Linked DNA regions of Diceros bicornis minor. The main gene of each other region encodes a partner of the protein of the gene in region 3 in a complex. Links are inferred from orthologs where the notes say so. Each region holds a gene or a part of one and is shown on either strand. Other genes may lie near its edges. The genes, in order: CHRAC1, POLE and POLE3.

What was found.
Region 1: POLE3 (region 3) and CHRAC1 share a complex: the UniProt entries of both Homo sapiens proteins name them as parts of the CHRAC ISWI chromatin remodeling complex. The link is inferred for Diceros bicornis minor from reciprocal best matches to the Homo sapiens genes POLE3 and CHRAC1.
Region 2: POLE3 (region 3) and POLE share a complex: the UniProt entries of both Homo sapiens proteins name them as parts of the DNA polymerase epsilon complex. The link is inferred for Diceros bicornis minor from reciprocal best matches to the Homo sapiens genes POLE3 and POLE.

Annotation. Positions count from the first base shown.
Region 1 is NC_080760.1:53,260,571-53,270,525, reverse strand, and holds CHRAC1 (chromatin accessibility complex protein 1), read right to left. Parts: upstream 4,151-9,955; 5' UTR 4,093-4,150; coding exon 3,946-4,092; intron 2,354-3,945; coding exon 2,227-2,353; intron 2,127-2,226; coding exon of another isoform or gene 2,074-2,126; exon of another isoform or gene 1,664-2,073; intron 1,270-1,663; coding exon 1,151-1,269; 3' UTR 558-1,150; downstream 1-557. UniProt on the Homo sapiens protein: Forms a complex with DNA polymerase epsilon subunit POLE3 and binds naked DNA, which is then incorporated into chromatin, aided by the nucleosome remodeling activity of ISWI/SNF2H and ACF1.
Region 2 is NC_080774.1:479,757-489,481, reverse strand, and holds the start of POLE (DNA polymerase epsilon catalytic subunit A), read right to left. Parts: upstream 4,644-9,725; 5' UTR 4,621-4,643; coding exon 4,559-4,620; intron 1-4,558. Other genes in the region: PXMP2 (peroxisomal membrane protein 2), read left to right, coding at 5,023-5,144, 6,788-6,904, 8,721-8,883. UniProt on the Homo sapiens protein: Catalytic component of the DNA polymerase epsilon complex. Participates in chromosomal DNA replication.
Region 3 is NC_080767.1:21,636,925-21,647,029, forward strand, and holds POLE3 (DNA polymerase epsilon subunit 3), read right to left. Parts: upstream 4,226-10,105; 5' UTR 4,106-4,225; coding exon 4,040-4,105; intron 3,940-4,039; coding exon 3,854-3,939; intron 3,478-3,853; coding exon 3,359-3,477; intron 3,077-3,358; coding exon 2,904-3,076; 3' UTR 1,485-2,903; downstream 1-1,484. Other genes in the region: C28H9orf43 (uncharacterized protein C9orf43 homolog), read left to right, coding at 5,889-5,974, 7,208-7,407, 7,511-7,661. UniProt on the Homo sapiens protein: Accessory component of the DNA polymerase epsilon complex. Participates in DNA repair and in chromosomal DNA replication.

The DNA.
Region 1 (9,955 bases), on a different chromosome or scaffold from region 3:
AAACTCAGAACTGTACACCAAAAAGTGGATTTTAAAATATTTTATTCTAAAAACAAGATGGTCAGAAAACATCAGTGGTTGCCTGGGGATAGGCAAAGGGACTAACTCCAGAAGAATACAGGGGAACATCTGAGGTGACTGGAACTGTTCTGTATATTGATTGCTTACACAACCAACAGACTTGACATTAAAGGATGATTTTACTGGATATAAATTATAATTCAATTTTTTTTTTTAAAAAAGAGACTGAAAAGACAAGAGCCAAAAATTTGTATGTGAAAAAAAAATAGGGCTTATGGTTTCCTCTTGTGGACAGTAAAAACAATCACAATGGGTGTAAAGAAAAGAACAGTAAAAAGAGAGATCTTCAACATACAAAATGTTTTAAAACGTTTTTTAAGAAAAATATGCTCATGCAGAGGTAACATTTCTTTTTGCATTGGCTAATTTGACTTGAAATTCTTCTCTGGGAATAAGTGTTAGAAATCCTTATTTTTAAATATCACAAAAGTCTCAGGTAATAAGCAAGGCAGTAAAACAATGGAGGGTTCTAAAACTAGTTTCATAAAGCATTTTACTGTAAAACTATGTACAACTTTTAATAAAAAAGAAAAATTTATTTCTTTACAGTTAAAAAAATGCAGTATTTGGACAAATAGTCAAATTTTCTTGAAATACAAAAACTGAAATGTAACATACTACGCATAAACTACATATTTAGCTAAAACTGGATCTAGTTGTTTATAAGGATTTCAAAATATACATATACGAATTTACACAAATGATATTTAGAAGCTCTTCAAAATCTATCTGTAAATTTAAAAGTTAAGCAAAATTGTCTTTGCCTCTGCTGCTTATAGCTGCAGCAGATTGAGTGGCAGTGCCTGACTGTACAGACAACTCTTTCTTGGTACCCTCCAACTGCAGCGGGGACCTGTCAAAGAGAGGCCGTTGTCTGGGTTACTTTCCTTTTGGCTATTTATGGTATAGGTGCCTCAGATGCTCTATCTCAGCCAGGAAAGAATACAATGTACTTGAAGTCTCTGAAAATCGAGGAGACTAAAGTCACACAGTGTTGTGCTTACTTCAAAGTAATGGTGCCAATCCAGAACGGTCTTCACCAGGTTGATTTTTAAAGCACTTTTTTGGTTTAGGATTCCGCGTCATCATCATCACTGTCATCGTTGTCATGCTCTTCCTCGTCATCTTCTCTCTTCTCTTTAAGCATTTTCAGATATTTACTAGCTAAAATCTTCTTTGGTAATATATCTTAAAAACATAAAGCTAACATCAGCAATTGGTTGTGGTACACCATGAATACAGCAATGCAAATTTCAAAATGTACTAGTTCCTGCTTTATTTATTTATTTATTTTTTAATTTTTTGTTTATGAAAAATCATGTCTATTTTTTTTGTGTGTGAGATCAGCCCTGTGCTAACATTCGCCAATCCTCCTCTTTTTTTTTTTGCTGAGGAACACGGCCCTGGGCTAACATCTGTGCCCATCTTCCTCCACTTTATATGGGACGCCGCCACAGCATGGCTTGCCAAGCAGTGCGTCGGTGTGCGCCCGGGATCCGAACCAGCGAACCCCGGCCCGCCGCAGCGGAGCGCGCGCACTTAACCGCTTGCGCCACCGGGCCGGCCCCAACTAGTTCCTGCTTTAGAATAGGTTCCAAAACAAGACAAAATTCAGACTACACTTCTGGGTGAAATAGCAGGAAACTAGCACTGTCTGCTGACTAATGCTCAAGACCTGTTTCCATTCTACTGACTGCAAACTATGTGCTTCTATGTGCTGATAACGACTGAGCAACCCTGCCCAAACCACCTCAGACCGGCTGGCCCCAAGGGTAGACTTAAGCTCTTTCTGGCTGTGTCCCACAACTATTACAACAACAAGCATTAGTTTTTCTGTTTCTGGGGCCAAGGAAAGCAGCCCAGAGTTTTCCCTTCAGTGGCAAGGAGGAGTCTGAGGAGGTGGGTCTGCCAGGCTCACCCAGCCAGCCAAACATCCTTGGTGCAGGCTGTTGACTTCACTATCGTTCTAGGTGAACCACATTACAAACACACTCAGACAAAACATAAAAGGTCTTCCTGTGCCAGGTCGTGGAAAACTTTGGCACCTGGAGAAAGCAGCAAAATGTCAATTTCAGTGAAAGCAGGAAAGAAAGAGTTGCAAATTACTAAGCATTTTTTAACCAGAATGTTTCAAAGGCTAAGTACCTGCAAGAAACTGAAAAGTTTCCGATTCCTCTGCAGTATTTGATAAATCACTGTAAGTGAGTGCTTTCTTTTCTTTTCCACTGCCATGTCTGTAGGAATAGGTGGCTAGATATTGAACAAAGAGTTCCTAAAACAAAACCAAAAAGTAAAATGAAAGGTGTGCTTTGAAAACTTATCATAGAACTTCATCTTTAAATTACTTTAAGTTTAGATGAACTCAGATTATCTTGGTTTCTCAAATTACAGGAAATCACTGGGGAAAGGAGAAATATGAGGTTAGAAGGAAAGCAAGGCCATATCAAAGTTGGTGGAGAAGGCATTTCCCTAAAGTTTATTTTAGATTTCTAACTTATCAAAAATATTTAAAAGTAATTAATGAATCATAAATGTGCAATAACCAATCTGTACAGTAAAAAGGGAGCATGAGACCATTTGAAAATTCTATCTGGGCCGGCCCCGTGGCTTAGCGGTTAAGTGCGCGCGCTCCGCTGCTGGCAGCCCGGGTTCCGATCCCAGGCGCGCACCAACACACCGCTTCTCCGGCCATGTTGAGGCCGCGTCCCACATACAGCAACTAGAACGATGTGCAACTATGACATACAACTATCTAGTGGGGCTTTGGGGGAAAAAAATAATAAATAAAAAAAATTATTAAAAAAAAAAAAGAAAATTCTATCTGGCTCAGGAACACAATTTTAGTCTTTCATTTGAATATATTGTGTCCAAGGTGGTTTGCCTACAACTATAATAGTCAGCAACCTGAAGCTGAAAATGGACATTTCCCATTTTGCACCAATACCTTCCCTAAAGAAACAACCTGGACTGAGCCCCTCTCTCTGTTTTTGCTTTAACTCCATCTAATTTGCTCAGTAAGGGATTAAAGAAGGGCCTGCATAAGCCACAGTTCCTTAATACTTACAGAATGAAATTGTACAGGAAAACACAAATATCCCAATGCTGAGCGGGCAATTATTTTCCTGGGCTCTAAGAAAGCATGGCTCTGGCATAAAGCAGGCAAGAAATCTGATTTCCCACTTCCGTTAGCTCTAGTCCAACATACCGTAGGGACACTGTGTCCTGAACTCGGAGGGGCTGGAAAACAGACTCTAAGTTAAAACAATGAAGACGGCAGCTCAAACACGGCCCCGTGTAAAACAGGAAGGGTTCTGACACGCCACTATCGAGACCAAACCACAAGAGACGAATGATCTGTCCCGCACCTCGGAGGGGGCTAGTACACCGGCTGGAAGCGGAGGTCTCCGGGATGCCACTGCGGCCCGCCTAGCAGACGCGGGGAGCGCGGCCCGGCCACCTCCCGAGGAAGCCCTCGAGCTTCGCTGGACGGCGCCCGGGCCCTCGCCCCGGACCGTCTGAGGAGCTGGGGCCCCCAAACCCCCAAACAGGCCGGAAGCGAGAAAAGCGAAGGCTTTAGGGACGGGAATACGGCGACGCAGGGCAACGACACACCAAAACAAGCCGCGTCAGCCCGCGGGACGGCGGACGGCGCGCGAGGGAGGGCGGGAACGGCGCGGGATGGGCGGAGCTCGGGGCGCGCGAGGGAGGACGGGGCGCGGAAGGGCGCGCGCACGTGAGACCGCGAGGGGCAACCGGCGGCGCGCGGGCCGGGGGGGAGCCGGCGGCGCGGCCGAGGCTGGCGGGCGGCCCCATCCCCGCCCGTGTCTCGTGGCTCCTCACTGCTCCCCGCGCGGCCCGCCTCACCGTGGCCTTGGCCGTGAGCACCAGCGCCTCCTGGTTGATGCTGGACACCTCGGGGGAGCTCTTCATGATGACCCGGATGCGGGACAGGGGCAGCGACACGAGCCGCTGCTCCCCGCACTTGTCTTTGCCCACGACCACGTCCGCCATCTTTGCGCCCCTCCCCCGCGGCGGCCGCCGGGACCGCCCGCTATCACGCCACCGCCCACCGCCCGCCGCGAGGTGGCCGGCCGACACGGTGGGTGCGGGAGCGGCGTCCCGTTGCCCCGTGGGAGTTGTAGTGTCGGGGAGGCGCGGCCGCGGGGGCCGGCAGCCGCGCTTTCGGTGGCGGACTACAAGCCCCGTGATGCCCCGCGCCCCCGAGGCCGCCGGAAGGAGCCCTCGGCACCCTGCGCCGAGCGGAGCGGATGGAAAGGCGGCCGGCTGGGACGGCGGGGCGCGGGACGGGGGAGCAGGAGGTCCCGAGGGGAGGGCGGGTGCTGTTGAGGGAGGCGAACGGTAGGGGAGAGCTCTGCCAGGAGGGGGATGGAAAGTTTCAGGAATGTTGATTCACTGCCCTCGCTGTGCTGGAGCTGGGAATGCAGTGTGAACAAAAGAACGCTCTCCTGAAGGCAGCGTTCTAGAGGGAAGACGAAGTAAACAGCAAGCAAATAGGATAAATACCACGAAGGAAAAGAAAGCAGTGTCAGAAGATACAGAGACCGGGAGTACTGTTTTAACCAAGGTGGTAGGGAAGAAGGTTGGGCAGTGAAGAGAGGAAATAAGCCGTATTGACGTCTGAGAAAGCGCATTCCTGGGAGAAGGAACAACAAATGCAAAGGCCTGGAGGCTGGACCCCCGCAGGGCAGCTCAGAATGAGCGAGGCGTGGAACCAGGCGCGCTAGGTCCTATTGGATCTTATTCTAAGAAAAATGGGAAGTGGTTGAAAGATATCAGAAGGATGATGGGATATGTCTTTAAAAGGATCCCTCTGGCTGCTGATTGTGAATAGACCGGGGGTCGTAAGAGTGGAAGCAGAGAGATCAGGTAGAAGGTGATTGCAGGTGATGAGTAGGATGCCAGTGTGGCTAAGGTGAAATGAGCTAGGAAAAGAATGGTAGGAAGTAGCCAGAGGCCAGATCAGGTAGGGTCTTACAGACCGTGGAATTCTTTCCATATGAGTTGCGAGGCCGTGGGAAGAGTGAGGTGGTCCTACTGAAGTTTTACAAGGAATGCTCAAGGTGCTGTGTGTGAACAGACTGTAGGAGGGCGAGAATGTAAGCAGGTGGAGAGCACTGTTAGGAAGCTGTTATGGGACTGAGAAATGATGGCAGGTTAAACCAGGGTGGAGGCTGTGGGAAGTAGTAGGATTTGGCATCTAATTTGAAGATAGAGTCAACAGGACTCGCTAATGTGATGTGGAGTATGAGTGAAGGAATGGTGCCATTTACTGAGATGGGGAATTCTGCTGGACGAGCAAATTTGGCAGAGGTTTGGTTTGGAGCAAGTTTCAATTGCCTGTCAAACCCTTGTGGCAGTATTGAGTGGACAATTGGATATTCCAGCCTGGAATTCGGGCTGGAGCAGTGAATTTAGAAGCCACCACTGTCTAGGCGGTAGTTAAAACCATGGACCTGGGTGAATATCTAGGAGGAGAGAGTGGATGGAGTAGAAAGCTCTAAGGACCACGTCCTGGGATTCTCCAACATTCCGAGATGGGGAAGAGAAGGAAAATACAGCAAATGAGACTGGGAAGAAGTGGTCATTGAGTGAGAAGAAAACCAAGAGACCGGGTGTCCGTAAAGCCAAACAAAGAAAGTTCTTCTGAAAGGATAAATTAATCAAGTGCATCCAAAAGAGCTGAAGGGTCAATTAAGATGACTATCCTGCCACTCACCAGGTGTGACCTCAGGCAAAGCAAGTGTTCTCTCTGAACCACTGTTTCCTTATTTGCAAAGATGATGATGGGTTGTTGTGAGGTGTGCAAGTGCCTGGCATATTGAGATCCAAGTTCCCCACCCTGTCGGTGATACTCCATCCAGCGCTGCTTCCTCACAGGTCAGTGGTGAGGGTCAGAGGAGATGGGAATGAGAAAGCTTTTTGTAAACTGTAAAGCACTCTGCAAAAGTGTAAATTACTGTGTAAAGTCTCCCTGTTCCTGCTGCAAGGTCTTGTTACCCCAAGTTAACTTTGATTTCAAAGTTCATCTGAAAAGCATTTTGAAAATTCAAATATACCTTGTTTAACTTTTCTGATTTCAATTCTGTCCATCACTTAGGTAATGATTACAAAATATAAAATGTATACTTGTAGAGCGTGTTTCTACAAGATTAGTGGGTGCTGAAAATTACTGCTCTTTAGTCTTCCTGAGGAGGGGACCGGAGGCCAGATGTCACAGATTCTCCAGATTAATGACATTTGTGGTATTAGGGTTTTAGAAAAGTCTTTTCACATCTACCTTCAGGCATAATGACCCAGTAGTCTTAGACCTGCTGTGAGCTACCTCGCTAGGAGGTAAAGGCCAAGAATGCAAGGACAGTGTCATCTTCACCACTGTGACCTCAGGTTTTGGCCCAAATAATAGCGCCAAATACATGTCAGGGACTGCTAGGCCCAAAGGTACAGCCAGTGAGCAAGACAGCTATAGCTCTTGCTCTCACGGAGCTTACTTTCAAGGACAAGGGAGACAGAAAAAGAAATACCTTCTATGGTAAGTGCTGGGAAGAAGCACAATCGTGTGCAAGTGATCTTTAAGCTCAGACATGAAGAAGGGAAAGGAGCTGGCCATGCAGAGAGGCTGGGGCAAGACGAGCATTCTGAACAGCCTGTGGGAAGGATGGCTGAGGAGGAAGATGCCCTGGCAAATTTGAGGAACTGAAAGGCCAGTGTGGCTAGGGCTTAGTGAGTGAGGCAGAGGGCGCGGGAGAGGCGGTTAGCAAGGTAGGTGGGGCCCGCCAGGCAGGCAGGCAAGAAGTATGACGGTCCTTTTGAGAGCAAAGGAAAGCCATGCGAGTTTTGAAGTAAGGGAGCAGATCCAACGTAAAATCCCACTGGAACTGCCAGGTGATGACAATTGGCACCGTGCCCTGTGCAGAGCAGGGGCAGGAGGTGCTGCTTCAGCTTCAGGATTCAGCTCGTAGTCAAAGGGGCTCCTTTCCTCTGTAAGTGGGAGAGCCTTGACATTCACAGAAGGAAAGAGCAAGAAACTGCCCAACAAAAACCAACTACATGGTAGGGTCCTTCAGTCCACACAAGAAATAAGCTGTATTGTTGCTATATGTTAAAGGTTTTAGATGTTTTGTTTCTCTAGCTGGTTACTGTTTTATGTAAGGTTTGTCATTCTCATTCAGCATGTTTGAGAGCAGGATGGGTTAAGATTAGGAAAGAAAAAGAAGAGGAAGGCATCTGGAGAGTGAAAAGAAGAGAGCCAAAAGAATTCAAGGAGAAAGGGGGATGAGAAGCTCAGGTCATGGAATTGGCAGAGGATATTTGCAGTCATTAATCATTTTGAGAAGTAAGGAGAGGGGCAAAGAAGGAAATCTTCAGAAAAGTGGGAAAGTGCTCACCACTTAAAAAAAAGAAACAAGCTTCAAACCTAAGAGTAGGAGAACTAAAGAATATATAAACCTTGGGAACCTGCCTGCCCTAGAAAAAGCACAGTGAATTATCGTGTCATTCTGTTGTTAGCTTTGTTATCCATTAGTTCCCTTTCTCTTCACAACATCTCAAGAGGTGTCGCACCTTTCCTTGCTCCCTCCTGTGTCTGTATCCTAAGGTGCTAGAAAGCCACTAACTACTCTTCCCAGAAGCCCCTGCTAGCTGGCCTCTGGCTCCATTCTGCCAATGGGAGACACTAGTGAGTGACTGCAGCCGGGTAGGAGGAGGAAGTTGTTTATCTGCCTGTGTGAGGGCGTTGGCAGCAGGGTGGGGACTGCAGGGCGTCATGGTGAGCAACGTTGCATAGGTGGTGGTTTGAGTGGCTTCACCCTGGGTTTCTGCTCAGCAGCAGCATCTCTAGCAGTTCCGAGGCAAGTGTGGGCTCCTCGGCACCAAGCCAAGGGCAGTACCAGCTTCCTGATCTCTGCGCGGCATCTCCTTCCTCTTTTTCTTAAGAGCACCTTCTCCCTCATGCTCCTGCAGCTCTTCCAACACCCTTGAAATTTGATTCTTAACATTAAATCCCTCTCTGTTTGAAATATCTAAAAAAGTTTCTGCTTTGTGTGTGTGTGTGTTTGTGTGTGTGTGAGAAAGATCAGCCCTGAGCTAACATCTGATGCCCGTCCTCCTCTTTTTTGCTGAGGAAGATTGGCCCTGGGCTAACATCCATGCCCATCTTCCTCTACTTTATATGGGACACCACCACAGCGTGGCTTGACAAGCGGTGTTTCAGTGCATGCCCAGGATCCGAACCTGCGAACCCCGAAGCGGAGTGCGTGCACTTAACCGCTGCACCACCGGGCCAGCCTCTCTGCTTTTTTGATTGAACGTTGAAATGTGTCCGTGGTTGTAGGAAACAGATCCACAAATATGGGAATCTGGGGCTGGTTATCTGAGCTGACTATGCTGGTCCACAGAGATGACCTCATTGGCAGCATGCCCTGGCAAAACAGTTACTTAAATTATCACCTGCCTGGATGGAGTGTCCATTGAAGGCAAAGCTCCCGCCAGTGACCATCATGGTGGGAATAGAGACAAGGCTTGCGGGATAGGCTGGCTTCTTCTGATTGCATTGGAGAGATTTCAAAAGAAAATTGAAAGCTCTGGGCTTTAAACTCGCAGATCAAGCATGGTCAGAGAACGAGCTTCTGTGATGGTCCTAAGTGATTCCTTATCTTTTGTAGCCTTGAGGCTGATAAGACTAAAGGTCAGACCCACCCTTGATCCTACCTGATGCATAATTACAACAGAAGTTGAATTCACAGCGTCACCAGGGCTTCTCAGTGAAGTTGGGCTATTGATTGGGAAGAATGGGATCCTGAGAATTAGAATGGGGATAGTTGGGACGATACAAGCAAATGGGAGAAACTTGCACCCCCCATCCCTCTGAGCCTATTTGTTAGTGGAAATAGCCCCCCTGCCTGCCTGAGATTAGTCTTTGCCTGCTTGAAGTCCTGTTAATGAGCTCACTTGAGGTGCTTACCTGGCAAGGAGATGCTGAGTCTTCTGAAGACTCGCCCCTCATTAACTCCAATCCATAATTGGAGTCAGATCCCAGCATGCCCCAGGGAATCAGTGCGAGGCCCAGTTTAGGAGATGTTCACACTGAAAGAATCACAGGATATTCATGTATTTTTATCTGCAGAAACTTGGGGAATAAGTATATGGGGAATGGATCCTAACAGTATAAGAGCATGACATTTGATGGGGCTGAATTTATCAACAGAGCTGACTTACCAGAGGTTCTAGATTCTGTGTCAGCTCCAACAGCTGGCAGCGGCTTGAGTGGTTTGCTTCACTAAGCTGGTGGAGTGCCCTGCACTGGGCTCTCTTTGACTTTTGGAGACTGCCTGAACTGCACCTGAGTGTGCTCTCAGACCCATTCACCAGACAACCCCACAGATCGAGGGCGGGGTGTCTGCGGCATTTAGCACCCTTGTAAGGAGTCCTGGCAGGTCCCAATAACAGAGTCACAGCACAGACTCCAAGCGCTTTGGAGCAAAGATATATCTTCTTCTGCGAATAACTATCGTCCACTTGAGCAACAGCTTCAGATTTGCTATTGGACACCGGTAGAGACCAAAGGCCAGGCTACGAGACCCCAGATGAGTACGTGACCTGAGCTGGGTGTGACATGATCCGCCGAGCCACACACCACACTCCACCTTCAAGGGGAAGTTGATGAATATGATGGTATCAGCTTTGAGCCGGTCCCGGTCCCGGAGCACAAGTAAGTCACCTGAGCAGGTGGCTCAGACTCCCACGGCACCTCCTCCACTCCCCCCCACCTCGCCCACTCCCCACAACTATGGCCTCATGGGCATTCTCTGTGGGCAGACGAGCGAAGAAGAAAAACGCAGACCCAGTTAATAGCTTG
Region 2 (9,725 bases), on a different chromosome or scaffold from region 3:
ATGACAGTTATTTGAAACAAATCAGTTCAATGAACTATTCAATTCGTCTGTGTTTTCAGTCATGTAATTTGAGTTGGAAAAATATTTACTGAATGCTTTGGGTACTACTCTGTGCTAGTCCCATGCAAATGACGCACAGTACTGGCACAACCCCTGAGGTGGCCACAGCACATCTGGGAAGGTGCATTTCACATGAGTCAGTAGGAAAGTGAAACAAGAGTGTTTGCAATGTATTGGGCTGCATGGTTCAGCCTCACTGTATGAGCGTTTAGAGAGGGCAGTGATCCAAGCTAAGCCATTTTCTCCTTTACCTAGTTTATAGACATTGAAAGATGGCTTTAATTTCTATACAGCAAAGTCATTAACCATATTTTTACAGAGATGTTTGTTTTAAACGCACAAAAACAAGAGAGCCGAGATGCTGGTTTATGACTGCTGAGCACAGAGAAAAGTGCAGCCTGCCATCTGAGATTTGTGCAAAGCTGAGGTACACCTCACTGGGGAGGGAGGCCCTGGTGCAAGCGCTCATATGAAGTTTGCTTCATATGAAATTTTCTTCAAATAGAGCCGACAGGGCACATAACTGTGCAACACTCCAGCTAAGAGCTTTTTCCTTTCCTAATGAAGATTGTAATTCTACCCCTCTATTCCGATCCCCTTGCCTAGGGAAAACTGCAAATGAACCAATGTAATCGCCACATTTTACTGACATCATTCTCCTGTTTATCAATTGCATATGAGCTAACTGGAGTTAGGGAAACACCTGTTGCAGCAGAATAAACTATACCTTAAAAACATGATATATCTTCCAGGATGCCTGGGTTTAGATGTCAGTACAACCACGTATGGATAAAAATGGGGATATAATATTGCTCTGTGTGAGAGGAACTATCTCAACTGACAAGGAAACTCACTTCTCAGCTCTATAGTACCAGTACATCTGCCTCAAACTTCCCAAGCCTCTCTCTGGCTAGGATCTTGTAACAACTCTTCACACGGATTTTATCATAAACCTTAAAATAAGTACTTGATGAAGACTTTCCACCACCAGAACTATCTAAACCTGTTAGGATTCTAGAGCTTAGGTTCATCCCAAATGGTTCACAATCTTTAACTCCAGAGGTGTGATTTCATCTAGATAAACCAGAATAATTACAGTTTACCCATGTTCGAAAGAGAACAATCCTTCCGTTTACTAGCATTCCCACTTAAAAAAAAAAAAAAATTGTTAGTTTCTTCTTTAAACCACAGTTCTGAGATTCTGAACCTGTATATTTTTGGCAAGAAGGTCTATTTATTTGTTAAGCCAAGTATATTCTCCACTCCTCAAAAATGTATAGCTAAGAATCAATATCCCATGTCTTTTTGTCTTAATGTAAATAAATGAGTTACTTTGTAAAGCAACGAGCAGAGAAAATATGCACGTGTTTAGAGTGATGCTCTAAACACAAGCAAGTGGAGGGCCGGCCCGGTGGCTTAGCAGTTAAGTGCGCGCGCTCCGCTGCTGGCGGCCCGGGTTTGGATCCCAGGCGCGCACCGATGCACCGCTTCTCCGGCCATGCTGAGGCCGCATCCCACATACAGCAACTAGAAGGATGTGCAGCTATGACATACAACTACCTACTGGGGCTTTGGGGGAAAAACAATAAATAAATAAAAAATTTAAACACAAGCAAGTGGAGGTGGTGAGTGGAGATGGTAAATATCTATTTCCTGTGCAGAATCGACCAGATTCCCACCACTCTGCATCCTCAGTCAAACAGGCATATGTAGATACACTAGTTCTCATTCTTGCTAGACTGCTCTCCCTAAAAGTGTTCTTCCAAAGAACAGGGCAATGTGGGTTGTTTCACAGTAATCCAGGTCTCAAAGACATTCTCTCCCAACAGGAATAGACATTCATTCCTTCCCTTCCATCGCCTCTCACTTCCCAGGATCTGATTCCAGCTCCTTGCTAAATGTTTCCAGGTTCTTAGGATACCACAATTCTTGATGAAATTATATGACCATTCCATCTCTGACCACTATTAGATTTCTCCACAAGGTGAGTGTTTTCAAAATATTGCCCTATCATTTTTTTTGTGTGTGTGAGGAAGATCAGCCCTTAGCTAACATCCATGTTAATCCTCCTCTTTTTGCTGAGGAAGACCAGCTCTGAGTTAACATTATTGCCAATCCTCCTCCTTTTTTTTCCCCTTTTTCCCCAAAGCCCCAGTAGATAGTTGTATGTCATAGTTGCACATCCTTCTAGTTGCTGTATGTGGGACGTGGCCTCAGCATGGCCAGAGAAGCAGTGCACTTAACCACTAAGCCACGGGGCCAGCCCTGCCCTATCATTTGACCTTGCAATTCCACTTCTAAGAATTTATGCCAAGGAAACTGATGTACGGGAAATAATTTCTTTTATGTAGATGTTCATCACGGATTTGTTTATAAGAGGAGTAAAAAAAGGAAGCAGTCTAAATAAGCTAAATATACAAAACAGAGATCAAAGAGAATTAAAAAAAAGGTTTGAACCAAGTTTGTGCAGAATTCATGTCCTTAATTACCACAACATATTTCACCCATTGTTAATTCATCAATAGAAGTGGATAGAGAATTGTTTCTTAAGAAACACTCTTCCTTCACCTGAACATATTCCTTGGGTCACCTCCACTCGAAGAACAGAATGACCTATTTCAAGATTAGGATCCTTACTTTTCACAAAAGATTCTAACACCTGTTGTAGGCAGAATAATGGCCCCCTCAAAGATGTCTACGTCCTTATCCTGGGAACTTGTGTTACCTTACACGGCAAACGGCACTTTGCAGACGTGATTACATCAAAGATTTTGAGATGGGGATTATCTAGGTAGGCCCAATGCAATCACCAGGGTCCTTATAAGAGGGAGACAGGATGGCCAGAATCAGAGAGAGACAGAGACTGGAGGTGTGACCCTGTTGGTTTTGAAGACGGAGGAAGGAGCCACAAGACCAGGAATGCAGGGGGCCAACGTGGCCCCTAGAAGCTACAGAAGGTGAGGAAACAGATTCTCCCCTAGAGCCTTCAGAATGAATGAAACCCTGACGACATCTTGATTTTTAGGACTTCTGACCTTAGAAAAGTAAGAGAATAAATTTGCATTGTTTAAGCCACTAGGTGGTAATTTGTTAACAGTAGCAATTGGAAACCAACACACCACCATACTGTATGACTGTTTACTCTCTAAAATATCTGGATTCACTTTAAATCAAAAACACAGGAAAACTGGATTCCAGGCCTTGCTAGAGAACATACATAAATTCAGTCTGAGGTCCAGATCTCACGAAAGTCAGGACTGAATGCAGGGCTGCCCATGGAACATTACTCCAGGGCCTGCAGCCCTCTGCACTACATTCCTCCACATACCCTGCGTTCCATCCTCGCATCAAATGCGCTGATTAAGCAGATAAGAAACCCGCTCACTCGGATCATATCTCCTCCCAAAACTGTTTTCTCTGAGCGGCACATCTCACTTTTTCTCCCGTGATAGTACAAAATCTGAAAAACGGAGCTAGTAGTCACAAAGATGGTAACTACCGTTTACCGCCCTTCTACATGACCGACGCTGTCCAAGCGCTCTGCGCGCTCCCCATCAATTCTCACGACAGCCCCCCAGGGGGACTGGAAGCACGCCGTTTCGCGGCAGAAACGGAGGCACATCCCCCAGCCCACGCCCTCGACCGCTGCCCCAGGGGCACGCTTGCCTCCCAGGCCTGCCGAGAGGATTCAAGGAGCTAGTCCACGTGTCGCGTGGGAACAGGGCAGACAGGGAAGTTGACAGCGACGACGGCTCCCCACTACCGCGGCCTCGCCTGCTGTGGGGACGGCACTGAGCACGGCGCCGGCGCAGCGACCACCAGCTCGGGCAACACTCCACCCCCGAGGCCCGCGCAAGCACGAGACGCGGGTAGCGGCACCCGCCTCGCAGGCGCCCCGTGAGGACTGAGGGACGCGGACAGACAGCGTTTGCCACAGAAACTACCGCTCCCGTCACGACCGCCGTCCTCCACGTCTCTCAGCCGCTCTGAGGACTGCGTTCAGAGCGGAGCGTCAGTGGCGGCTCCGCGCGCCGGCGCGCGAGGAAACCACGCGGACGCGCTGCTCCGGCCCCGAGGAGCCCCTCCCCCCGGGGGCCCCCGCCGCCCTCTGGCTCCGCCCGTGTGAACACGGCTGCGGAACAGGGGCCGACGTGGCGCCGCGAGAGCGCCCCGGGGACGGGGCCAGGACGCGGCGCCGGGACACCGCTGACCACCGGCCGCACGGCCGTTCCGCCCGCCCGAAGGGGCAGCCGAGACGCGCAGAGCCCGCGGCGGGCGAGGCGCGGAGCGAGCCGGCGCGGAGGCCACGGCGCCGGGCGCGTCCCTCAGCGGAGCCCGCGCAGCTGAGGAGGAGCGCCCGCGGCCGCCGCCGACCGCCGTTCGGGCCCGGCGCACACGGGCTTCCTGCCTGGCCTCAGGGGGACCCCTCGGCTGCGAGCCCAGAACCTCCGCAGAAGGGGAGGGCCAGCGCCCGCCCGCCCGCCCGGGGCCCGCTCACCGGCTCGCCTCGCCGTCCGCGCCCGGCTCGGCACGCCGCCGTCCGCTGTTCCTCAGAACCATCGCGCCGCCGCCGCTTCTGCGGAGAAATTTGGCGCGCTCCCACCAACTCTCGCGAGAGAGCGGAAGCACCCCGCCGCCCAATCAGGATGCTCGTTGCGCCCCGCCCCGCCGAACTCCAATCGCCGCTGGCGCCCGAGGGGAGGTGGCCCGTCGGGGAAATTAGGCGAGGTGTGCGCAGGCGCGCGGAGCTCCAATCGCCGCCGGCGCCCGAGGGGCGGTGGCCCGTTAGGGACTCCGGGAAAAGTGTGCGGAGGCGCGCGCCCCGCACGGCGGGGTCTGCGGGCGGCGCTGCGGACCGCGGCGGGGCGGGAAATGTCAGGCCGTCCCCGCCCGGCGCCCCGCGCCCCGCTCCCGGCAGGCTGAGGCGGGGCCGGCACCCGGGCGCGCGGCGAGCGGGAGGTGATGGCGCCGGCGCCGTCGAGGCTGCTGGCCGAGCCCGGGCTCGGGGCGCTCCCGCGGCGGGCGCTCGCCCAGTACCTGCGCCTCCTGCGGCTCTACCCGGTGCTCACCAAGGCGGCCACCAGGTCGGCGCGGGGGGACGGGACCGGGCGGGGGCAGCCCGGAGCCCGGACGGCCCCGGTGACCCCGCTACATAGGTGCCTCTTCCACGGGGGTTTGAGTGTGAAAGGCAAGAATCCCCGTGCCTCTGAATGACCCTCCAAAGACCGTAAATTAACCAGAAAGCTCAGCATATGCGGTTTTGTGTCTTCGGTTCCGAAGAGTAACTCAGGCACTGTGAAATGTGAACTCCAGGGAGCCCGACTAAAGGGGTGCACGGAGGACTGCCTGCAGACCTCTGCGCCTTTGGTCCCGCTGCCCTGGAGGGAGCGTCCCGAGACAGATGGGGCCCAGCTTCTCGCACAGCTTGTCTGTGCCTGCGCGTGTTCTGAGAGTTAGGATGGCGTTGAGGTAGACGCCTTGAGGAGCGCACAGGAGGCCTGGGCAGGGTGGGAGGTGTGCAGGTTTGTTTTCTGCGGCAGCCTTGCATTTGGGAGAAAACTGAAAGCGCTCTCGGTACTGCTGGGTAACTCCACCCTTTGATTTGGAGCACTAAACTTTTTATGAGACATTTCCCCCTTCATTACTTTAATTAATTTCATGAGTTTGTCCCTTTTTACTAGTTCAGTCTTTTGTAAATATGTACAGCGTGCTTCTTGCGTGCTGGGCCATCGGCAGTGATTAAGATAGGTAAGGTCCTTTCCCTCATGCAGCTGGCGTTCTAGTGAAGAGCCAGACAAAAAGCAGATAAATATGTAATACAGGTAAAGTGTCAGGGAAGTTTTATCTGAGGAGGTGACATCTGAACAGAAACCTGGATGAAGAGAGGGGATAGGCCATGCAAAGAAGGGAAGCAAAAGCTCTCCGGACAGAGGGCACAGCAGGTGCAAAGGTCTGGAGGGAGGAGCAAGCTATTGATGGAGGAGTAGAAAGAAGGTCTGTGTCCCTGGAGAAAATGAAGAGTGAGAAAGGGAGAAATGAGAAAGAAGTAGCCAAGGATCAGATCAAGAAGGTCCTTATCGTCCATACTAACAAGTTTGGATTTTATAGCTCAGAGAGCTTCTCAGAAGGCAACTATAGACCAACCCTTGGAGCGACTGTCTCTACCGTTTTATTGAAATTTTACAAGGAGATCCCTCATACACTTTGCCCAGTTTCCCCCATTGGAAACATTTTGTAAAATTGTAGTACATATCACAACCAGAACACTGGCATGGATACAGTCACAGATCATATTAAGACTTCATACTCAGCTTTCCTTGTACTCGTGTGTGCCTGTGTTTAGTTCTGTGCAGTTTTATCACATGCATAGGTTTATGTATCCACCACTACAGTCAAAATACAGAAAAGTTTCATCATAAGGATACTTCCTCTTGCCTTTTTATAACCACACACTCCCCCTTCCCACATGGTAACCTTTTGCAAAATTATAGTATAATATCACAATCAGGATATTGACATTGATACAATCCACTAATTGGAAAGCTTACTGTACTCCTGTGTTTTTGTGTGTGTGTGTGTAAGTTCCACTGTGTCTACGTTTTTATGTAGAAGCCTTACACTGTGGCTGCTGTAATAAGGACTCCTCTCCACCCCTCCCCAGCATAATCTCAGGAACACATGCCCTCCTGCAGTTGCTCCTGTTTTCTGATTACCTCTCTGTCCACAGTGGCATTTTGTCAGCACTTGGGAACTTGCTGGCCCAGATGTCTGAGAAGCAGCAGAAAAAAGAAAACTGCTCTCAAAAGCTAGATGTCAGTGGGCCTCTCAGATATGCCATTTATGGGTGAGTTCCATAAAGGGGCTGGTTTACCCAGTAGCAGACTAAGTGCTACAAAGCTAGGGTATCAAGAGCAAGTCTCTGGAATAATCTAATTTGGAAAAATAATTTTTAAAAAGCTTTGAAGTAATCATGGGAAAAATCAGAACGGTGGATAACATTAACCACTTATTTTATAGTTTTTATGTGGTCCTTATTTTGAATTGCATGGGTTGAGGAGGCTGTCTTAATTGGCCTGAGAGACCTGAGGGCAGATAACTCACCTGACCCTGAAGTCAGACTTCAAGACTCAAAGACCCTGAAAGAGGAAAACAGACTCAAATGTGGTCAGTTTCTCTTGTTATTTTCATATCAAAAACATCCAGAAAAGAAATACTTAGGTATCCTGAAAAATGTCCAGTTTCTGAACCACTTTTTTTTTTTTTGTGAGATCAGCCCTGTGCTAACATCTGCCAATCCTCCTCTTTTTTTTTTTTTTTTTTTTTTTGCTGAGGAGGATTGGCCCTGGGCTAACATCCATGCCCATCTTCCTCTACTTTATATGGGATGCCGCCACAGCATGGCTTGCCAAGCAGTGCGTTAGTGCACGCCCGGGATCCAAACCTGCGAACCCCGGGCCGCCGCGGCGGAGCGTGCGCACTTAACTGCTTGCGCCACCAGGCTGGCCCCTGAACGACTTGTTGAATTGCAATAGCACAGAGATTCAGGAGTTTTACCAATTAAGTCCACCCTGAGTTCTCTGGCCAACAACAGTGTTTGTATAGATGGATTATTTTGAAATCTTTTGCAACAAGAGTGATTTTTTTTCAGTTCAAAATTTACAAATATCATTTTTGTATCTGTGAGCATGCTAACTTTAGTCATTGCAGCTTTTTCTGCAATATATTTAAAGTTGTAATCCCCCCGATGGGGGGGCAGGGTTGAGTATACCCGAATCACCTGGGAGGCTTTATCCCATCACAGTTTCCATCCTCAAGACTTCCCTTCTCCTCCCACTGTGAACTCCGGCTCTAGGCCACTTCACCTTCTATGGCAGGGTGGGAAAAGACAACTGAGAACCACTTGTTTAAAGACTTTCATTGTCAGGTTGGAAGACCCTTGGGCTCTGTCCATCTGTCATTGCTGGATTTTATGGAGCTGTGGGTCTGTTGTCCCAATAGATGTAGTGGCTGGGTTCAGTTCTCTCCCAAGCACTTTACACTTTGGAAGAACAGTGGCAATACACACAAGCCAGTGTGCTCACTAGGTTTTGCTCTTGCTAATTACCCAAGAGGGTTTGATGAAAAGTTCTAACACCAGTGATGCTTCCAGTTATTTATTACCAAGCACCGTCTCTGAGCCAGGCCCTGTTCTGGGCACTGAACAGACAGGCATGATCCTGTCTTGTGGCGTTTACCTTCTAGGGGCGAAGAGAAAGCACTGTGTAACTAAACCAAGGAAATTGTGACATGTAGTGATAAATGCTATGAAGAAAGTGAACAGGGCCTGGAACGGAGAGTGGCTGGGACAGCGGTGGGTTCATCATGCAGGGCAATCAGGAAAGAACTCTCCAGGCTGACAGGGTTGAGAAGGAGTGGGCCATGTGAAGATTAGGGGGATCCAAGACAGGAACAAGTCTGGTCTGTGAGAGGCAGGAAAGAATGCTTGAAGTAGATTCGAAGAAAGCATATTTTCTAGAAGGATCACACAGACCTTTGTGGTCAGTGCTGAGGGACTACAGGGAGGCAGGCTTTAGGACCTGGGGTTTGGGGGTGAAGCTGGACCGCAGAAGGGCACGTCCAGAGAGGGGCAGTCCAGCTCACCCGCCACCACGGGGCCACAGGTTCTTCTTCACAGGGCCACTGAGTCACTTCTTCTACCTCTTCCTGGAGCACTGGATCCCTTCCGAGGTCCCCTTGGCAGGGGTCAAGAGGCTCCTCCTGGACCGCCTCCTCTTTGCACCGGCCTTCCTGTTGTTGTTCTTCTTCATCATGAACTTCCTGGAGGTTGGTCTCTGCTGTAGTACGACAGCTCTTCATTTGGCACAGGGATTCTTAATCTGGCATCGTGGGTGGAATTCAGAGGGTCTGTGAGCTTTTCGCTACACTCAAAGTTTCACATTTTCTTTTATGAATGTCAGAAGCCAACCACAGCGTATTAACAATACCTGTTGGTCCGCAGTAGAAATCACAGATATTTTGATATCACACATAAGTTCATTCCTTGCACCTGCTGTCAGGTCTCGTCACTGAATGTTAATAAATATGCACATATGCTAGTCTATCATAAAATTGTTTTCTGAATATTTTGATAACTGTATTTCAGTATAATTGGGTCCTTTGTAGTCCTATATATTTTATTTTATACATTACAAAACACGATTCTGAGAAGGGCATCTGTAGGCTTCATCAGACTGCCAAAGAGATCCATGGTACAGAAGTTTCAGACCCCTAATGATGTCGCAGAAGCCTGTGCTAACTCAGTGCCTAGACATTGTAAGTGCTTTGAAGAGGTTAACTTAGCAGCATAAACTTAACATCAGAACCCACCACATGAAAGGTGTGTTCACGTGTAATCACCGGGCACATCTGTTATCCTAATGTGTCCAACCTAAGTCCCTTCCCAGTTCAGTGGCACCTTCAAGCGCTCACCATCTCCTCTCTGTCCGCTGTGTGCCTGAGATGTGTCATGTTCTGCCCTGGAAGTAATTTGTTTCAACCAATCACAGCAGGTAAATTATTCTTTTTTTTTTTTATAATTTTATTTATTTATTTTTCTCCCAAAGCCCCAGTAGCTAGTTGTATGTCATAGCTGCACATCCTTCTAGTTGCTGTATGTGGGACGCGGC
Region 3 (10,105 bases):
GAAAAACTGATGAAATATGAATAGTTTGCATTTAATTGATAGTTTTTTCTTAGTTTTGACAAATCTATCATGGTTATGTAAGATGCAAACATGAGGGGAATTTGAGTGGTGTTTATATGGAAACTCTCTCCACTCTGCAACTTTTCTGTAAATCTAAAATTGTTCCAAAATAAAAAAGCTTATTAAAAAAAGAGAAGCAAGGCTGCGGGCCACTGAGAATAGGACCCCCAGCTTTCATAAATTAGTGGTAAGATGTTGAGCAAGACATTTCTCTCTTGATGAGCCTCATCAAGAAATTGGCAAAAATAGGGGCTGGCCTGGTGGTGTAGTGGTTAAGTTCATGTGCTCCACTTTGGCGGCCTGGAGTTCGCAGGTTCGGATGCCCGGGGCAGACCTGCCCACCGCTCATCAAGCCATGCTGTGGCGGCATCCCATATACAAAGTAGAAGAAGATGGGCACAGATGTTAGCTCAGGGCTAATCTTCCTCAGCAAAAAAAAAAAAAAAAAAAAAAGAGAGAAACGTTACCTTAGCCTAGTAAGGAAACTTCAAAATCTAGATACCACTATAGGAATGATATAGGTGTGGTTGGGAAAATCTGGTGGATGACCTCAAAAGATTCTTCCCAGTTCTAAAATTCTGTCGTTTTAAGTCATTCCCCACTCTCAGGAAACATTTTTCTTAGGTAGTCAAGGTTTGGTAAGAACTAAAGCCACGTGGAAGGAGAGTTCTTTTGGGGATTCATAGTTGAATGAAGCCTTATGTTGGAGTAGATTAGAATAGAAGGTAAAGCAAGTCCTCCTTAAGCAAGCTTTGAATAACAAGTTTAAGTATGGATTTGATTTAATAGGAAGCAGTGAGGGACTGTAAAATAACAATGTTCCAGGAAGATCCACTTGGCAAGCAGTACACAGGGGAAGCAGAGATGAGGCAGGAAATGGCTCAAAGGAAGCCACAGGAATCCAGATGGGACTTGAGGGCTTAGCTGAGCTCATGGGAATTAAGAAACGATGTTTCTGCTGTGGAGAAGGAAAAAGCCACTGGATCTACATTACAGTTGGGGTGTATCTTTGTGAAATGTTATTTATAAATCCATGATTTGAAAAAGCTATATAATGCGACAGGTAATAGGGCGTTATGGTTGAGATCATGGAGGTAACAGCAGTGCTCCTTCATAGGGTCTAGGAGTTACTACTTGAAAGCATTTATAACAGTGCAGACACCTAGCAGGGACCTAATATGTTGAGAGCTGTTGAGCATCTTGTATGTGTAGGGTGGCTGGCAGAGCCATCGAAAGCCCTTGCTGTGGTTGAAGAGCAGCGCCCTTGCCTGTGAATGAGCAGCATCTGCTGGTCATCCAAGGTGATGCAGGATCCCATATTGACAAAGGTCTGGCCCAGTCCACACCCCAAAAACTGTACAGGGCATGATCAGTCGGTCCTCCCCAAAAGCACACTATAAACAAGCAGGATGAAACAGGAATCATCACTTTTAACAAGAATGTTCTTTATTTGTACAAAGCAATATAATTTTCTCAACATTCTTCACTCATCAACAAACTTTTCACTGCGTTCATTTAACATATTAACAGTGTCAAACTACACTTCACTACCTGTCAACCTCCAAGCGCTCAACTTAGAGACAAACCAAAAAGTGCTTGGAGTACCAAATGGAAAGAGAAAAAAAAACTAAGAAAGGTCAATTGAGATAACTTAGAAGCAGTTAAAGGGAGTAGGCCGGAGGGGGTGTGGGGGTAGGGGAGGTGATTCCTGAGCACCATCAGATTTCCCTTAAGGTTCAGAGAGGTTTACAAAATCATTTTTAAAAGACATGAGATTAGAACTAAGGAATAAGAGGAACCTGCCCTTTGGGATATTAAGCAGGTTATCAAAGTTCCTGGATTGCAGAAGTGTGATACGGAGAGGGAGAGAGAGTGGGAATGAGGAGCAGAGGAGAGGCAGCAGAAAGGGAGCGAGAAGCACACAGGGAGAAAGTTGTGGTGAAGTAAAACAAAGTTTGGAACTTGTCATGAATTGGAAGAATGAAAAGCCATAGTTACAAGTCTGGAAGGACTGAAAGAGAAAGCCTGGAATTTTATACCTTCCAGAAGGTGACAATAAATCCTAAAGCTGTACAGTGGCAGGCAGTGAGATGCATTTAAGACTAAACTACCTGTTTTGTAAGTAGGAGATTAGCACACTTGCTTGTGTAATTCCACTTTACACTGCTGATGTAAAATATACGTGCCCGGAGAGCAGCCACCCCAGCAGGTCAAATGCCTACAAGCAATATAGAAGGGCTCCAAGCCAAACGGGTCTGTAGAAACCGAAATCCTATCAATGTTACTGTCAACTGAAGAGACAATGGAACAGATTTCGTTGTTCTTTTAGTAGTTTCCTAAAGCTAAACCATTTTGACCACTTGTAGTAACCTAGTATTGCCAAACATTGTATAATCAAACAGGCTGACCATGATCAAAGCCCCAATTTTTCCTGAGCCTTGACTGCCTCTGTGATCTGGAACACAGCTGGCAGTACAGAAGTTATTATTACTTTTTTAAGGGGAGGGAACTTCCACAGGGATGGAAGGGAACTGGGGATCGAAAACTGTCTAACCATATATATACACGTAAAACAAGAGAGATCAAATTGACTAAATTAGCCGTTCAAAATCCCTCTTGCCAAAGAGTCATAACCTTCAGAATGGTTAAGCAACAGCATTCTGCTACTCAGATGCTCTGAGTGTGGGAAGCGCTGGTTTTGATAATTGTAGTCAGTTTTTGTTTCGATCTCCTCAGGCTCTTCTGCCTAAGACTACTCTGCCCAGCAGGGAAAAGCTTCACACAAACGTGTACCATGTTTCAGAGTGGTACCTTCCAAAGTGCCACAGTCTCCCCCACCCTATTCAGTTGTCCACTTCCTCCTCTTCATTCTGTTCTTCTTCTTCCAGTCTTTCCTCATCTTCATCGTTGTCCTCATCCCTGCTCTTGTCTGGCTCTTCTGAATCTGTTTTTTTGTCTTTGTCCTTCTTCTTTTGCTCTGAAGCTTCCTTCTTACCTTTCTGCTCCCTCCTATATGCTGTAAGGAGGAAGGGGGGAGTTAGGAGGCAGGGCTGAACCAGACAGACTGCAGAAGCTAACTCCATTGTATACCTGGAAAAGCTGAGGCACAGAAGGAAAAATAACCTGAAGAGCATCACAAAACAGATCTGAAGTCGTGCCAGCTGAACTGATTCTAAGTCACATCCAATACTTGCTCATGGGACTTAAAAGAGACTCAGGCTGAGAAAGACTCAGGACCAGGTGAGCGGGTCACACAGGATGCACATCTACTTGGCTGAGAAAACGAAAGGGTCGTTACCTTCCAGAGCTTCTTTTAACGGGTTGATGAACCGCTGGAACTCCATCTCCTCCATGGCAGAGAGCACATCACTGGCATTCAGTGTCTTGCGTTTCCCTTTCATCGCGAAGTTGTTGGCACTAAAAGAAGAAAAGAAGAAAGATTAAGTGCCATGAGAGGCTGTCAGAGACCCCCCTTGCCGCGTATGGAGGGGGTGGGAAAAGGAGCACCCATAGGTGGAACGGGAAACCCTAGGTCTTAGATGCATGGATTTTGATGACATGGTAAGCACCCTCCCTTCCCTGTACAAAAGGATTAAAGCAAACTTATTCTGTTGTTTTATTTTGCTTCAGACTTGGCAAGAAGTGGAGAACTGTGAACCTCTCTCCACTGAGATGGGACACAATTATTGGGGTCTGTGGGCCCCAGGCCAGGACCTCCGCGAGCCGGGGGATCTCTCGCGCCTCCCCTATGCCTCGGCCCCCGCTGAGCTCTGGCGAGCTCCGCCCGGCTCACCAGGACGTGGCATACAGCACGAAGACGCTGGCGGCGCGGGAGATGGCGCTGCGGGCCTCCTTGGAGATGTTGACACCGTCCGGGAGCTGTGGGGAGAGCTGGAGTGAGCGAAGCTGCCGGCCCAGGACCTGCTTCCCGCCTGCCCGCTCGTCTGCCCCGGCCCTTCCGCCAGCCCGAGCTGCTCACCGCCTCCTTGATGATCCTGGTGATGACGGCGTTGGGGAGATTTAGGTCCTCGGGCCTCTCCGCCATCGCCGCCGCCGGGGCCCACGTCTCCGCCTCAGGCCTCCTCTTCAGGCTGCTACGGCGTCCAGACTTCCCGCGTCGCCACGATCTGACCCAACAAGGCTTCCGTCCCGCCCCCGCACTGCTCACTCTGTGTCCCACAGTGCCCCGCGCGCCATAGCCTCCCTCCTCCCCCAGCCCCGCCTCCGCCTCAAGTTGCCGGTGCATCCGAACTTTGCACGCCGCTTTCGTTTTGGCCCGCCGGGGATTCCGTCTGACCCCATCGGCACCCAGCGTCCCTTCGCAGGCTGGTTTCTCTGCTCATGCCACCAAGAAGTCTGGATGTCTCGCCTCAATTTAAGTTTGGCTCACTGGCGGTTCCGTCCATTCCCCATAGTGCTCTGCGCCGCTGCCTGGCGACGGCGCAGACTGACGGCTAGCGTGGGAGACGAAGGCGTGGACTGAGCCGGCGGGGCGGGGCTCCTTCGGACGAGGGGCGGGGCCTGTCGGGCGGGGCCGCGCCGGGAGCGGTGATTTCCCGGTGGGCTTCGGTCTCTTAGCTGTTTGGTATCTGCTGTTTGGTATCCGGGACCCGTTCCCCGGGGCGGCGTTCTTCCACTTCCTTTTCCGGAACGAAGCGGGGAATCTTTTTTCAACTCTGCCGGAGCTGATGTCCATCCTTAATCTTTTCACCACTCCCGACTCTGTAATCCTGTTAAGAATAACTGTTAACTTAGAATTTTTGAACGCAGACTGCTTTGCAGCATAGCGCTAATGTGGCAGCACAGAGATGGGCATGACTAGACCTCGGGGCTCACTTCTGGCTGGGCAGGTAACGAAAGGGCAACGAGCAGCCGGTTGCAAGAATAACGCAAGACCTTCGCGTTCAAAAACAAACCCTGTTAAAACTGTGTTTATTTTTTAGTTCATTGTGTTGTGTTCACCGTACACCTTTCCGGGTCAAAAACATTACCGTGCTTTTGCAGTGGCTTTTTAAGTTGTGTCATTTTCATGTTAGGTGCGCAGAAATTGTCCTCACCCCCACTGAGTACTAATGCTGCTCTCTTTCTTGAAACATGTCTGAAGTCACCCTGCTTCGTTTTCCTGCTGTTGTTAGAGACATGAGTACAGAGAAATATTTCCCTATTATGAGAAAAACAACAACAAATGTGGTGATAAATGGCAACCGAAACTGCTTCAGTTAGAGACTGTAGCGTCTGGTGGCGGAACTCTCCACTTGGATAGAACAGACCTGGTTTAAAGATGTCAGGAGATGCTCAGCTCCAGCCAGTTGCTGTCTATTGGCATTGGGCCCCCGTGTTGGCAGATATTTTGTTCTTTATGAGGAGCCAGAAATCTGGACATCATGGACCATATTTGCATTTTAAAATAATGGCTCCAAGTCCAGGCCAAACAACACAAGTCATAGGCCAGGTGCAATCCCAGGCCAGTAGTTGGCTAGCTTTTGTCTAAAGTATAAGCTCTTTAAAACAGGGACTTATTTTGTTCATTGATAGTCTCCATGCCGGTAACAGGTCCCCTCAGATATTTGGTAGTCAATAAACTTGTTGAATAAAAGAAAGATGACAGGGACACTGTTCTTAAAAAGTTTTAGGGATTAGGTGGTAGTGATTGCCTAAAACATTTCTCCAGAGAGAAAGATGATAATATCTATTGAGCACCTATTATATATTGTACATAAAAGTACGTTATCTCATTTAATGCTTCTACAAGCCTACTTAGGGTTTTTCCCTCCCCTGCTTTCTATGAGGAAACAGGCGGAGAGAGGTGAAGTCACTTGCCCAAGACCATGCGGCCAGTCAATGAAAAGCCAGTGGCCTCTGATGCAACTGCAAGTCTACTGATTTGCTGTTTGAGCAAACCCATTCATTTCTGGTGGGTATTTTAGCTGCCCGTATGAGAATTGGAGCATATTGAAAAATGAAGCATGTCTTCCAAAGGTTTGAGCCATCTAAAGCACTTCTGTGACTACATTCGTTGTAATTTGATAAACTTTTTTGGTGATGATGGCATCTTCTCCCTAATGATTAATGAAGGGGAAAAGGAAAGGATGCTAATATTTATTTTGAACTATATGGCAGACCTTTTTTTTTTTTGTTTTTTATTTTTTGTGAGGAAGATCAGCCCTGAGCTACCATCTGATGCCAGTCCTCCCCCTCCCCCTCCTTTTTTTGCTGAGGAAGATTGGCCCTGGGCTAACATCCGTGCCCATCTTCCTCCACTTTACATGGGGTGCAGCCACAGCATGGCTTGACAAGCGATGCATCAGTGCGCACCAGGGATCCGAACCTGCGAGCCCCAGGCAGCTGCAGCAGAGCATGAGCACTTAACTGCTTGCACCGGGTGGGCCCCCAGACCTTTTAATATCTATTAACTAATTTTTTTTCCAATTACTTACTTTCTTATTTATTTTTTTGTGAGGAGATCAGCCCTGTGCTAACATCTGCCAATCCTCCTCTTTTTTTTTTTTTTTTTTTTTTTTTGCTGAGGAAGACTGGCCCTGGGCTAACATCCGTGCCCATCTTCCTCCACTTTATATGGGACGCCACCACAGCATGGCTTGCCAAGCAGCGCGTCGGTGTGTGCCTGGGATCCAAACCGGCGAACCCCAGGCCGGGCCGCTGCAGCGGAGCATGCACTTAACGCTTGTGCCACTGGGCCGGCCCCTTCAATTACTTACTTTCCAAGGATTTAATTAAGTGCTAAGGACATCTTGAAGTGCTATCAAATATTTATTAGATTAGGATCTTTTTGACAATAAATATGGATAAATTTCAAAAATAGAATACACATGTAAATTTAAAATAATACCTTATATTTATAAATACATTAATTTTTGTAATGACTCTGTGAAATAGGCTTATCCTCATTTTGCAGATGAGGAAACAAGCTCAGATTGGTTAAGACCCAGGTCACTCACTTGCCACTTTACTTCGTGCTGAGATGTTTTCATACTTGCTTGTTAGCCAATTCTTAATTATCCTGTGACCACCATTTACCTATATGGGTTCATTAGAAATATTTTATGCTTTGAGTCCAAATTCAGATCTGGAATGAATGGCTAATGTATAATACTCCCTAGTTATGTGGTGGTTATTGTTTCTCCAGGGGGCTAGAAAGCTGCAAGATGGGTTCTTGTCCTAAACCATTTGTAGCTGTGGACTCACCAGATGAAAGCCAGTGGGATGAAACCACTTGCGACCTGGCCGTTTGTCAGCATCCACAGTGCTGGGCAACTGTCCGCCGGATTGAGAGGGGCCGCCCTCGAATCCTGGGCTCCCCCTGCGAAACTCCTCCAGATGCTGAAGGTGAATTAGCCAGCCCTGTCTCCTTCCTTCTAAGATCCTTGAACTATTTCTGTTTGGCTCCCTTTTGACATGTTACATGTTTTGTTCTGGTCTGCTTTCTCAGACAAACTCCCAGTGCTCACCATTGTAAACATCTCAGATTCCTGCTTCCGGGCCAAGAGACTTGCTCATCGTCGTTTCTCAGGATTTACCTTCACCAAGGCTCACTCTTTATTGTCTCGAGGTTCAAAGTTTGACTGCAAATTTCGAGGCAGGTAAGTTATCATGGAATCTTCCATTAAGAGCCTACTATCTCAAAATTCTAAGTTGACTTCTTTTATCCATGTGTAGTAGACTTTGAGAAAGCTGGATTAAAAGTAAAACACCATTTCCATTAAAGAAGTGGTGAATAGGCAGTGGGAAACAGAAAGAAAGCATTCTTATTTGTGTTGTAGGAGTTGGTTACAATGGAGGGTGTATTAGTTTGCTAGGGTTACCATAGCAAAGTACCATAGACTGGGTGGCTTAAACAACAAGTTTATTTTCTCACAGTTCTAGAGGCTAGAAGTTCAAGATTAAGGTGTTGGCAGAATTGTTTTCTTCTGAGCCCTCTCTCCTTGGCTTGTAGGTGGCCGTTTTCTCACTATGTCTTAACATGGCCTTCCCTCTCTGTATGTCTGTGTCCTAATCTCCTCTTCTTGTAAGCACACCAGTCATATTGGATTAGGGCCCACCCATATGACTTTATTTTACCTTATTTACCTCATTAAAGACCGTGTCTCTAAATAGAGTCAAATTCTGAGGTATTGGGGTTAGGATTTCAACATAAAAATTTGGGGGGACACAATTGAGCCTCTAACAGGGAGTATCTCCTCAGCTTCTGTAGGTCATCAGAAAACTGTGCTGTCTTTCTCGTCTTTTATTTTTAGGTATGAAACCGTTTGTAAGATCTCGAAGGCAGAAGCAATGGTTTCCTTTTGAGTCTCTTGCAGAGTCTAGGCACCCAATTAGTGCTTGCTGATAGAGGAAGCTAAGGGACGGATCTGTGGAAAACATAGACTGTTAGAATTCGAAGACCCTGTTGCCTGGAATCAAAGCACTAAGTGGCCCTTATACTGGTTTCTTCTCTCCTGTTTCACTAAAGCAGCCCTTGATGATTTCTGTTAGGCTAAAGATAGTATAGGAAAGGTTAGGATTACTTTCTGGTTCTCTAGGATTTGAATCCTAGGAAAACAGCAGCTTCTCCCAGTCAGGGCCTATGAGGGGAAAGACCATGCCATCATTCATTTAGTCACTCACTGAATTCACAAATGTATCTTAGTGGGGACCACTTTGCTGGACACCGGGGACACAGTGGTAAACAAGATACAGTCTTTACCCCCAAAGGGCTTTCAGCCTATTTGGGGTGGCAAAGACCCATTCAGTGTGATGAATGTGGCGAGAAGGGTACCCCCTGGGGGTGTGGAAGGACACAGGAGGAGTTCCTAACCCAGGGTACTGCCTCCTGTACAGGTGGCATCTGTGCCTAGACCTGAAATTAGAGTACCAGTGAGGTGGGAGGTGGACGAGGAGAGAGTTCTAGACTGCAGAAATAGCACACGCAAAGGCCTGGAGGCAAGCAGAAATTCTTTAGGTGTCAGGAAAATAGTTCCCTGTGTCTGGAACATAGAGCAGGAATGAGAGAGTGGTCAGAGAGGAGGCTAGGGAGCTGGAGTAAAAAGCAGGGGCCTACATCACGCAGGACTTCATAAATCAGGCTAAGGAGTTGAATCCTTATCTTATACCTCTTTGCAGTATTCATTCATTCATCCATTTAACATGTTTTAAAAATAAAATAGCAACTGATATGAAAATGTAAGGGGATGATTTTTATTGTGGTAAATATATATAACAAAATTTATGATTTTAACCTCTTTTTTTGGTTTTGTTTTTTGAGGAAGATCAGCCCTGAGCTAACACCCGTTGCCAATCCTCCTCTTTTTGCTGAGGAAGATTGGCCCTGAGCCAACATCCATGCCCATCTTCCTCTACTTTATATGGGATGCTGCCACAGCGTGGCTTGACAAGCGGTGTGTCAGTGCATTCCCGGGATCCGAACCTGTGAACCCCGGGCCGCTGAAGTGGAGTGCCTGCACTTAACCACTTGTGCCACCAGGCAGGCCCCCATTTTAACCATTTTTAAGTGTATAATTCGGTGGCATTAAATACATTCACAATGTTATGCAACCATCACCGCTATACATTTCTAGAACTTTTTCATCATCTCTAACAGAAGCTCTGTACCCATTAAACCATAAATCCCCATTCTCCCTTCCCTCCAGCCCTGGTAATCCCTATTCTATTTTTTGTCTCTATGAATTTGCCCATTCTAGGTACCTCATATCAGTGGAATCATATAATATTTGTCCTTTTGTGTCTAGCTTATTTCACCTAGCATAATGTTTTCAGGGTTCATCTATCTTGTAGTATGTATCGGAATTTCATTCCTTTTTAAGGCTGAAAAATATTCCATTATATGTATACACCACGTTTTGTCTGTTTAACATGTTATTGAATATCTACATCAAAGGTACTTAAACTTTTATTGATAGTGATGTAACTATCTGTAGTTGGAGAGAGAGAGGCATAAGCTATGAAATCAGTGTGATGCAACAAATAATAGTGAAGGGCTTGCAATGTGCAATGTCTGTTTGGGAGCTGTTCCAGGAAAAACAAGCAA